Linked DNA regions of Saccharomyces cerevisiae S288C. The protein of the gene in region 1 interacts with the protein of each later gene in a biochemical or structural test. Each region holds a gene or a part of one and is shown on either strand. Other genes may lie near its edges.

Region 1 (3,814 bases):
GCCAATTTACCATCTGGGGTTTGTGATGGCAAAACAACAGAAGGAGAAGAGTATGCAGTTCTTGTTACCCAAGTAGAATGGAAGACGAAAAGATACAAATAAAAGATGAATGATCCGGAAACAATCAATTTGGCCAGTAGTGCCGCAGGTTTGATGGCGTATTTGCGGTCACTTGTCTTGAAATCCAGGTAGATGTCAAATATCTTGGACAATGCGACGGCGGCGGACACACAGATGACTGGTGTCAAAGTCAACATCAATCTAACCATAACACCGGCAAAGTACGAACACAGAACGGAGTAAGCGATGACAAAAACGTGCTCGTCTTTCAAGTCGAGGAATAGTAGGAATACACCGGCGGGGAATAGCCAGATCAAAAAGTGGGTATCAAAGAAGAAAGCGGGCCACGAAACGGGTTGATGTTCGGAAACGGAGGCAATGATAGGAATGTGGATCTTTGCGTAGTTGGTATCCCATAACGAATAAAATCTACCAGTCCAAGGGGCAATCAACCCCATATAGGTCAAGGCAGAAAGTCCGACCACACCAAGGACCAAGATCAAAAACAGAGAAACCATCATGATGACTTTAAACTTAGCTGTGCTGATTTGGCCCTTCACGAAGTCACCGAAGGCGACAATCTGAATCAAACCGAAAACACCCAATGCGGCCATGTGGTCGTTAGACCTGATAGGTAGGAAACCGACAAATGGGATCTGCATGGATGCAACAGTTCCAATAGCGTACCAAGTGGTGTAGGCAGAATACAGTTTGGACGAATATCTGCCCATCAAAATCAGCAAAAAGACATGGAGTGGGATCAAGTTGGTGATGAACACGTATCCACCCCAAGCCGACACCATGTAGAAGTAGAATAAAGCTGCACACGTTGCGTGCATGATAGAGCCAGTCTTTTGGGCCTTAATCCAAAACATGAAAGTGACCATTAATAGTGTAATGGCAATGGCCTCATTATCGTAGGACCCCGCCACTGATCTAGATATATAACCGGGGACAATGGCTATAAAACCAGCAGCCAAAAGCCCAGCGCTGGCATCTTTAATCTCTTTCGTAAATTCGTAAGTCGCCCAGGCGGTGACCCCAGAAAATAGTGGCGCAAATAGCACACAAACGTTTCTGATGTCAATGGGCAAGCCCAACCAGTTGCGCAGGGCGTGCCAGATGAACGCACTAGTCGTCATCAAACCAGGATATAAAGTCCCTCCAGTAACCCTTCCGAGGGGGTACCAGGTACGGTCGTCAAACCAGTTCAAAAACTTGTAAAACGAATTGTTGACGAGATATTTGGTAGCCCTATAATTGAACCAGGGGTCGAATTCATGGATAATAGACTCAAATTTGATGACTGCAAACAAACGTGATGATATGGCAGCCCCAAAAATCGCCACGAAGATGACGAGCTTGAGGATGGTCTGAAACACAGACAAAACACACGACCGGTCGGATCCCATGGCAGCTGTGATAATGACGAATGGTAGTTAGGATTTACGGCTGTGAATGCGATTGCGGATGCTATGTCACGTTGAATTAGACCGTGCTTTTGCTGCTTTTCTTTCTTTCAGACTTGCTCTTTTGTTCGTGTCTTATTTTGTCAATTCTCGACCAGCGCGAAAAAGCAACCGTCGATGGTGACCATTTAGCAGAGGCGAAGAGAAGTAAAAGAAAGCTTATGATATGACTATTGAGACCTGGAATAGGTACGAAGCGCCAGTGAGGAGGACTGGGCAGCACAGTTGTAGTGGAGACCAGAATGACTGCGTTGCATAGTGTGTCCAAAACGCCCGCGATCAAGGAAGAGGAGGAGGACGGTGATGAGCGAGACGGCAGAGGAGTTCCCCTGGGACCAAGGAACCATGACTACCGTGGCAGGAAAGGTGATGAGGAAAGCGGTGCTGACACCGTGACATCTCCCATCACGTTTGAAAAGAAGAAGATAGCGCCCAGGGCGTCAACGCATTCCGAACAGAGTATTTTGAGCAGCATCTCATTGAAATCGATGGTAAATCAACATCGTCAGCAGCAGTTGCAGCAAGAGAGCTCAACAGGGGCAGGCACTGGGTTTGTTGACAGAAAGCAGCAGATCCAATCTCCGGCGATGGTGTCCATATTGAGGAAGAACTCTGCTGAGGAGAATGTTCGCAGCAGCCACAGTAGCAAGCTCGGTGAAGGGCAGATAGATGGTAGGAAGGCTTCTGCTAGTAAGGAGATCGGCAAGACGTTGCCATTCACGGATGACCAAAGATCGAACCCTGAACTAGATCCCACCAATAGCGTGGTGGATGTTAGCAGGGGCAAGAATACAAAGAGCAAAACTGTGTTCAATGAGTTAGAAGATGATGCCGATGACGATGACGAGGTTCGACAAAAGAATCTAACCACGCAGGCGTTACGCAAGTTGTCGTCGTTCAAAATGAATGCTAGTTCTAATTTGAGGTTGAGTAAAGAAAACAAGGCGAAAGAGTCTTCATCTTCGTCCACGTCTTCAGTGTCGTCATCGTCGACGTCGAAGGTGGAAAATATTGTCGACAAGCTGACTACAACGAATTCTAGCTCGATGTCCCAACTGCGGTTTGGCAACACGAACGTCATTATTGATTCGGTGAATCATGCGGCGAAACCGCCGCATCAGCAGATGCTAAGGAAACCCTCGCTGGAATTTTTACCGCAGCCTGCTTCGAGCACTAATCTGAATTTTAATTCCAATAAACATAAATCAAATGTAAGACAGATCAGTAACCCTAAAAAACCGCTATACATCCCCGCCGTGCTGAGGAAAGTTTCAGAGACAAACATAACTAATGACGATCTGTTGAATGCAACATTGTCGTCTTACTACAAGAAGGCATCTAACCTGGAACATGGCTTTAATCCAAGCAAGTCGCAATCCGCTAGCGTTCAGAATGCGAACAACCTACGGATCATATCTTCTCAATCCAGCGTACAATCCAACACATCGTCAATCTTGGAAAGCTACAAAAACAAAATATCCTCGTACTTGTTCCCGAATTCTATTCCGAACAGCGACAGAATCAACTTAATACCAACTATTTCAAACAGAAACTCTGCCAGAGTAAACCCGCCCACTAAGGACCACTGGATTCCGGACAGTAAGAGGAATTCTTGTCGTTACTGCCATAAGCCTTTTACCCTGTGGGAAAGGAAACATCATTGCAGGCATTGCGGGGACATCTTTTGTCAAGACCATTTGCGCCATTGGCTGTACCTGGACTCGCAGGCAAATTTTATAATGATCAACGAACTAAACAACGGTGGCATAAATGGCGGTGGCACTCTCTGTAAAATATGCGATGACTGTCTGGTCGAGTACGAGAACCTTTCAACCACGAACCATAACGCAAACACGAACGAGGATAACATAAACGTTGAGGAGGGCGAAGATGACGATAATGACAATAGGAAGAAATTACGCAATTACTACAAGAATAGGCAGATGAACGCTCTTTTCAGACCAAAGAAGGGCGGTTCGTCCCAAGAGCATGCCACGGTTGATCGAGACACAACAACGCCCATCCAGGTGAAGTCGAACGACGAAGAAGCAGATAATGAGAATACGGGGGGAGAACAAGAAGAAGGTAATGATGTTTTGGGCAGTGTTATCGGCTCTGTGCCTGCAAACTGGAATTGGAGTAGTTTCTGATGAACATTTTTTGCGAGACAAGCGAAGAGAGGATGTACACTATTGATGTATGACCATTATGTATACAATAAACTTAATATAATATGATATAATATAATATAATATATAACACTAACACTTTCCTGAGGATTTTCG
Region 2 (8,294 bases), on another chromosome or scaffold:
CCCCGGCGGTCATATGCTTCTGATATAGGAGCTCCTCTTTTCAATAGCACCGAGAAACTGTACCTGATGCGAGCATCGTTGCCCAATGAACCCATCTGTACCGAGAACTTGACGCCGTTCATAAAACTATTGCCTACTAGGGGCAAATCCGGTTTGACATCTCTCTTGGATGGTCATAAATTGTTCGACTCTCTATGGAATAGTATTTCCTTGGATATTGCCACTATTTGTTCTGAAGATGAAGATGCTCTTTGTCACTACGAGATGGACGCACGCATAGAAATGGTAACACACGTTCCCTCCGCCTTGGCAAGAGGTGAGAGACCTATCCCCAAACCTTTGGATGGGAACACATTGCGTTGTGACACGGATAAACCCTTTGATTCTTACCAATGCTTCCCTCTACCGGAACCTTCGCAGACTCACTTCAAGCTGTCTCAGCTGTTTGCCAGACCAATAAACAATGGCAACCTGTTTGCTAATAGGCCCACAAGAATTTGTGCAGAAGTTGACCGTTCTACCTGGACTGCGTTTTTGTCAGTTGACGATACTATTTTCAGCACACATGATAATTGCTTTGACTTATCAAACGATCAAAATGAGGGTGGTTCGGGCTACGACTTTATTTTAGAATCGACGGACACTACTAAAGTTACTCCCATAGTTCCTGTCCCAATTCACGTAAGCAGATCTCTGACTGGTAATGGACAAGATCGTGGTGGAATGCGTATTGTTTTCCATAACGACAATGATACCCCTGTGAAGTTGATTTATTTCGAATCATTGCCATGGTTCATGAGAGTTTACCTATCCTCTCTTCAAATTACTTCTACTACCTCTCCGCAATTGCAAGAAAACGATATCATCTTAGATAAATACTATTTACAAGCGGCCGATAGAAAAAGACCTGGCCACTTGGAGTTCACGATGTTAATTCCAGCTAATACGGACATTGTAATGACTTATCAATTCGATAAAGCTCTTCTGCAATTTGCCGAGTATCCACCAGATGCAAACCATGGTTTTGAAATCGATGCAGCTGTAATCACCGTGCTATCTTTGGAGTCCTCATCGTCTCTTTATGAAATGAGAACCTCTACCCTATTGTTATCCCTGTCTACACCGGATTTTAGTATGCCGTATAACGTCATCATTCTAACATCTACAATCATGGGACTCATATTCGGTATGCTATACAATTTGATGGTGAAGAGAATGGTCACCGTCGAAGAGGCCGATAAGATTACGTTGCAATCTGGCTTAAAATACAAATTGCTAAAGCTAAAGGAAAAGTTCCTAGGGAAAAAAAAGACTAAAACAGACTAACAATCTAGCATCTAGATATGTGTATGAAGTATACGTAGTTTACATAATCTGGAAGCACTCACTATTTACCATCAGTTTCTACTTTTTAAAAGGGATCCTCATATGGATCCTCTTCATCATAATCGTCATCCTTTTCGTACTCATAAACAATAGCACCCCCTTGTCCAAAGCTTTGTGCCTCCAGAAAAGGCAATGCGACTTGATCTTTGGCCAGCTTCTGTTTGTTGGATGTTCCTAGGTTGAATGTTGTTAATCCTTGCAACATTTCGGGTGTCTCCAGTCCGTTACTACTGCTCTCCTCTTCTTGCTTAGTGGTTGATAATAATTCATATTCGTGGGTGTTTGAATTTACTATGAAGTCGTATTCCAATGACCTGCCGGACTTTCTTTTATTAACAAGTCGTAATTGAAATATATCGTTATTTAACCCGCGAGGAATTCTAAATTCGTTTAACAATTCACTCACCTCCTCAGTATCGAGAGTGCCTGTTAATACCACATCAATATCTACTATTGTAGTGGCCATAAACTGCAGTAAAGTCAACTTATCAGGATAATTGTTATTCCAATCAGGTATTACCGTACGGTTCTCATCTTTGATGTCTTTATGATAAGTCGCAACCATCGTGCAGTGAGGAGAGGCGATCTCAGACAAAAACCTTGTTATGTATTCTGTAGAAATATAGTTCAATGAATCGATAATGACCATGTGCTTTTTTGCCTGTGTGGCAGTAGCAGCCGGTAGATATGATATAATTTGTTTCACTAAATGTACAAAATCCATCTGCGTAGCGTCAATAAATTGAGTACAGTACGATGGTTTATTCACTGTTTCGAACGAAATGTACACAATTGGATACTCATTTCCTTTACTCTTGCTCTGGTGGACGAATTCTTGGATGAGCTTGTATGAGGTCTGGGCAATAGAATCTAAGCACAAAATGAAAGGGGAGCTTTCTGTGAGCGATAAGATTCTTTTCAAAAGAATGACAGGGTTATGTGACGAACTGGCCATTATATCTTGTTCTACCTGTAGCAATAGCTTGGGTTGGAGCTATTAAAAAGCTCTTAAGTTATCATTCTCCAGAGGTTATAATGGCATCGCTTCTTATATTTGGATTTTTCAAGGTGACCCGCACTATGAGATGATAATCAAGGCAGCATTAATAGTATCAAAAATACTTTAATAAATCATCAATAGGTAGTACTTTACATAAGTATATAGAGGATTTTAAAACTTGTAAAGTTATTTTCGAATGCATTTGGTTTGTAGATTCCTTTGATTACATTTAGCGAATCCTATTGCATGCAGAGAAGGGTAAAAGATACATAATGCCGGAGATTTATGGACCTCAGCCATTAAAGCCACTCAATACGGTGATGAGACATGGGTTTGAAGAGCAATACCAAAGTGACCAACTTTTACAATCACTCGCGAATGATTTCATATTCTACTTTGATGATAAACGACACAAAACTAATGGAAATCCGATTCCTGAAGAGGATAAACAACGAGATGTAAATCGTTATTACCAGCCGATTACCGATTGGAAGATTATGAAAGATCGACAGAAGACAGTAAGTGCGGCCCTTTTATTATGCTTGAATTTAGGTGTCGATCCCCCTGATGTTATGAAGACACATCCCTGTGCCAGAGTTGAAGCATGGGTAGACCCATTGAATTTCCAGGACTCGAAGAAAGCAATAGAACAAATTGGTAAAAACTTACAAGCACAGTACGAAACTCTGTCTTTGAGAACACGCTATAAACAAAGCTTGGATCCTTGTGTAGAGGATGTCAAACGGTTTTGCAACTCGCTAAGAAGAACTTCTAAGGAAGATAGGATACTTTTCCACTACAACGGACATGGTGTGCCTAAGCCTACAAAATCAGGTGAAATTTGGGTTTTCAACAGAGGTTATACACAATATATTCCGGTATCTTTGTATGACCTGCAAACTTGGTTAGGTGCGCCATGTATATTTGTCTATGATTGCAACAGTGCTGAAAATATATTAATCAACTTTCAGAAGTTTGTGCAAAAGAGGATTAAAGATGATGAAGAGGGAAATCATGATGTTGCCGCGCCATCACCAACTTCAGCTTATCAAGATTGTTTCCAATTAGCCTCTTGCACTTCCGATGAACTTTTACTTATGAGTCCGGAACTACCCGCAGATTTGTTTAGTTGTTGTTTGACCTGTCCAATAGAGATTAGCATCCGTATCTTTCTCATGCAGTCACCCTTAAAAGATTCTAAATATAAAATTTTCTTCGAAAATAGTACTTCAAATCAACCGTTTGGTGATAGTAAGAACTCGTTCAAGTCCAAAATACCCAACGTCAATATCCCTGGAATGTTGTCGGATAGGAGAACGCCGTTGGGAGAACTAAATTGGATTTTTACAGCTATAACGGACACAATTGCATGGACATCCCTCCCCCGACCACTTTTCAAAAAATTATTCAGACATGATTTAATGATTGCTGCGCTTTTCAGAAATTTTCTTCTAGCCAAAAGAATAATGCCGTGGTACAATTGCCATCCTGTATCTGATCCAGAATTACCAGATAGTATAACCACACATCCAATGTGGAAATCTTGGGATTTAGCCATGGATGAAGTACTGACTAAAATAGTCATTGATCTGAAAAATGCTCCTCCCGCTACTGCCTTAGAGAGTCAGATGATTCTACAACAACAAGAAACCTTACAGAATGGTGGCAGCTCTAAGTCGAATGCCCAAGATACGAAAGCCGGAAGTATTCAAACACAATCGAGATTTGCAGTGGCCAATTTAAGTACAATGTCTCTAGTAAATAACCCTGCTCTCCAATCAAGAAAATCTATATCTTTGCAAAGCTCACAGCAACAATTACAGCAGCAGCAACAACAACAACAACAATTTACAGGATTTTTTGAACAAAATTTGACTGCTTTTGAATTGTGGTTGAAATATGCTTCAAATGTCAGACACCCGCCTGAGCAGCTTCCTATCGTTTTACAGGTTCTTCTTTCGCAAGTGCATCGTATACGTGCGTTGGTACTTTTATCCAGATTTTTAGATTTAGGCCCGTGGGCTGTCTACCTGTCACTTTCAATAGGTATCTTCCCCTACGTTTTGAAGCTGCTACAAAGTCCAGCACCTGAGTTGAAGCCCATCCTAGTTTTTATTTGGGCCCGTATCATGTCAATAGATTACAAAAACACGCAAAGTGAATTAATCAAAGAAAAGGGTTATATGTATTTTGTTACAGTGTTAGTACCTGATTGGGGTGTTAATGGCATGTCAGCTACAAATGGCTCAGCCATGATAAATAGTGGGAACCCGTTGACAATGACTGCATCGCAGAATATAAATGGTCCATCTTCAAGATATTATGAACGCCAGCAAGGAAATAGAACATCCAACTTGGGCCACAATAATCTTCCATTTTATCATTCTAATGATACCACCGATGAACAAAAAGCTATGGCTGTCTTTGTTTTGGCATCATTCGTTCGAAACTTTCCTCTGGGGCAAAAAAATTGTTTTAGTTTGGAACTGGTCAACAAGTTGTGCTTTTATATTGATAATTCTGAGATACCCCTACTAAGACAGTGGTGTGTTATTTTATTAGGTTTATTGTTTGCTGATAACCCCTTAAACAGGTTTGTATGTATGAATACTGGTGCTGTTGAAATATTACTAAAATCTTTGAAGGACCCTGTACCTGAAGTTAGAACAGCTTCTATATTTGCATTGAAGCATTTCATATCTGGATTTCAAGATGCAGAGGTAATTTTGAGATTGCAACAAGAATTTGAAGAACAGTATCAGCAATTACATTCGCAATTACAGCATCTCCAAAATCAATCCCATCTACAACAACAACAGTCCCAGCAACAGCAGCAGCATCTTGAGCAGCAGCAGATGAAAATTGAAAAGCAGATTCGTCATTGTCAAGTTATGCAAAATCAACTAGAAGTTATTGATTTGAGGAAGTTAAAAAGACAGGAAATTGGCAACTTGATCTCAATCTTACCTTTAATCAATGATGGTTCATCATTAGTCCGTAAGGAACTAGTCGTATATTTTTCGCATATTGTGAGTCGTTACTCTAACTTTTTTATTGTAGTTGTATTCAATGATTTGTTGGAAGAAATAAAACTTTTAGAGAAAAGTGATATCAATACTCGAAACACTTCCGATAAGTATTCAGTTAGTCAGGGTTCCATTTTCTACACTGTTTGGAAATCTCTCTTGATTCTAGCCGAAGATCCCTTTTTAGAGAACAAGGAATTATCCAAGCAGGTTATAGATTATATTTTGCTTGAATTAAGCGCCCATAAGGAACTTGGTGGACCATTTGCAGTTATGGAAAAATTTTTGTTGAAAAGAAGCTCGAAAGCTCACCAAACTGGTAAATTTGGATTTAATTCTTCGCAGGTTCAATTTGTAAAAAGTTCATTACGATCATTCTCACCAAATGAGAGGGTAGATAATAATGCATTCAAAAAAGAGCAACAACAGCATGACCCAAAGATATCTCATCCAATGCGGACATCTTTAGCTAAACTTTTCCAGAGTCTTGGTTTTAGCGAATCCAATAGTGACTCTGATACTCAATCATCAAATACTTCGATGAAATCGCATACCTCAAAAAAGGGTCCCTCGGGCTTATATTTATTGAATGGCAATAATAATATTTATCCTACAGCTGAGACTCCAAGATTCCGGAAGCATACAGAACCCTTACAATTGCCATTAAATAGTTCCTTTTTAGACTATTCACGTGAATATTTTCAAGAACCACAAATGAAAAAGCAAGAGGCGGATGAACCTGGCAGTGTTGAGTATAATGCTAGATTGTGGAGACGTAACAGAAATGAAACTATTATCCAGGAAACACAGGGGGAGAAAAAATTATCGATTTATGGGAATTGGTCCAAAAAATTGATTAGTTTAAATAACAAAAGTCAACCAAAACTGATGAAGTTTGCCCAGTTTGAAGATCAGCTGATTACTGCAGATGATAGAAGTACCATTACAGTTTTTGATTGGGAGAAAGGAAAGACTTTGTCCAAATTCTCCAATGGTACTCCTTTTGGCACAAAAGTTACTGACCTGAAACTCATTAACGAGGATGACTCCGCCCTTTTATTGACAGGTTCTTCAGACGGTGTTATCAAAATATACAGAGACTACCAAGATGTCGACACCTTTAAAATTGTATCCGCCTGGAGAGGCTTGACCGATATGTTATTGACACCTAGATCCACAGGTTTACTAACCGAATGGTTACAAATAAGAGGATCATTGTTAACAACTGGTGATGTTAAGGTTATCCGTGTCTGGGATGCGCATACAGAAACGGTTGAAGTGGACATTCCTGCAAAAACATCATCTTTAATTACATCCTTGACGGCTGATCAGCTAGCAGGTAATATCTTCGTAGCAGGGTTTGCAGATGGCTCCCTGAGAGTATATGATCGCCGTCTCGATCCAAGAGATTCCATGATACGTCGCTGGAGAGCTGGAAATGATAAGCAGGGAGTTTGGATTAACAATGTTCATTTACAAAGAGGTGGTTACAGAGAATTGGTCAGTGGAGCTACCAATGGTGTTGTAGAGTTATGGGATATAAGGTCCGAAGATCCGGTAGAATCGTTTGTTGATCAAAACGTAACTTCTCAGTACGGTTCGCAACAAAAACCAACGACAATGACGTGCATGCAGGTTCATGAGCATGCTCCGATAATTGCGACAGGGACTAAACAAATAAAGATATGGACGACATCTGGAGATCTTTTGAATTCTTTTAAAAACTCACATAATAATGGCGTAACAAGTACATTAGCCGCTACGGGAATCCCAAAGTCACTGTCCTACTCTTCCACTTCTGATGCATTTTTATCTTCGATGGCTTTCCATCCTCATAGAATGATGATTGCGGCCACCAATTCTCACGATTCTATTGTAAATATCTACAAGTGTGAAGACGAGAGAATTGATTATTTTTGATATGTGCCATTTCTTTTTTTTTCTTTCATTTAGCTGCAAAAGAGATATATATATATATATATATATAATCTATTATATAATAAAAGTCGAGTAAAAAATTGGTCTGATTGTGAATTTAACAGCTGGTCGCAAGTTCTGGAATTTGTTGTTAATTATTGTTTCATGTTCGTATAATAATACGATGTTTAGTAAAGCAGAAAGTTCAGAATATTAAAAGTCTGTTCCAATAGTGTAGCGGCTATCACGTTGCCTTCACACGGCAAAGGTCCCGAGTTCGATCCTCGGTTGGAACATTTTAACATCGATTTTTTTGTTTGTCATAGCCAGACCAATTACGACGTTTAGAGGCATGCACTTTGTTAAATATTTTTTCTCTCTCCTTCGACATATTTTTTTTCCTGTTTACGTAACATTCATCCCCAGTCTTTGTATCATTTTTTTTTTTTTTTGGTGATGCGACAGCAATTCTGGCCGACACAGTCGTTTTCAAAGAAAAACTACCACAAACTATGGAACATAATTGAAAACAAAAACATTTACTTATAACCTACATAATGATTGAAGATACTTCATTGATCTTTACCACCTTCCTCGTTGAAATCTTTTCTACCATAGTCAGTATTTTTGGGAATTTTATAAAAACGCAAATTTTATCGAAATGAATCAAGGTTACACACAGCTTTCCGCACCGGAACTGAAGGAGACTAAAACATCGAAGCTAAATAAAATGAACAACTTTCGAAGCTCTCCGATTGCTGAGATAATTAATAAGATACCACCAGATTGCGGGAAGATACAGAATACAACATTTCCTGAGTTCAATCCAGCGTTAAGAAGACGACAACACGAACAGTGGCCTGCATACGAAAAACCAATAAGAGTTACTGACAGTATGTCACCACAGCTTTCTTCAATCAATTGTTTGCCAAATTTGTATCCCCACGGTACGCTACCATTACCAA

Evidence for each region.
Region 2: the proteins of PIB2 (region 1) and KOG1 form a complex in vitro, tested with the Saccharomyces cerevisiae proteins (one study listed by BioGRID).

Annotation. Positions count from the first base shown.
Region 1 is NC_001139.9:450,062-453,875, reverse strand, and holds PIB2 (Pib2p), read left to right. Parts: upstream 1-1,771; coding exon 1,772-3,679; downstream 3,680-3,814. Other genes in the region: dolichyl-diphosphooligosaccharide--protein glycosyltransferase subunit STT3, read right to left, coding at 1-1,472. UniProt on the Saccharomyces cerevisiae protein: Functions as an intracellular glutamine sensor that directly activates the TORC1 signaling pathway, to promote cell growth when glutamine is available. May play a role in repressing NPR1 activity independently of TORC1 signaling.
Region 2 is NC_001140.6:475,037-483,330, reverse strand, and holds KOG1 (ubiquitin-binding TORC1 subunit KOG1), read left to right. Parts: upstream 1-2,658; coding exon 2,659-7,332; downstream 7,333-8,294. Other genes in the region: GPI-anchor transamidase subunit GPI16, read left to right, coding at 1-1,326; Elongator subunit IKI1, read right to left, coding at 1,412-2,341; PFS1 (Pfs1p), read left to right, coding at 7,991-8,294. UniProt on the Saccharomyces cerevisiae protein: Component of TORC1, which regulates multiple cellular processes to control cell growth in response to environmental signals. Nutrient limitation and environmental stress signals cause inactivation of TORC1.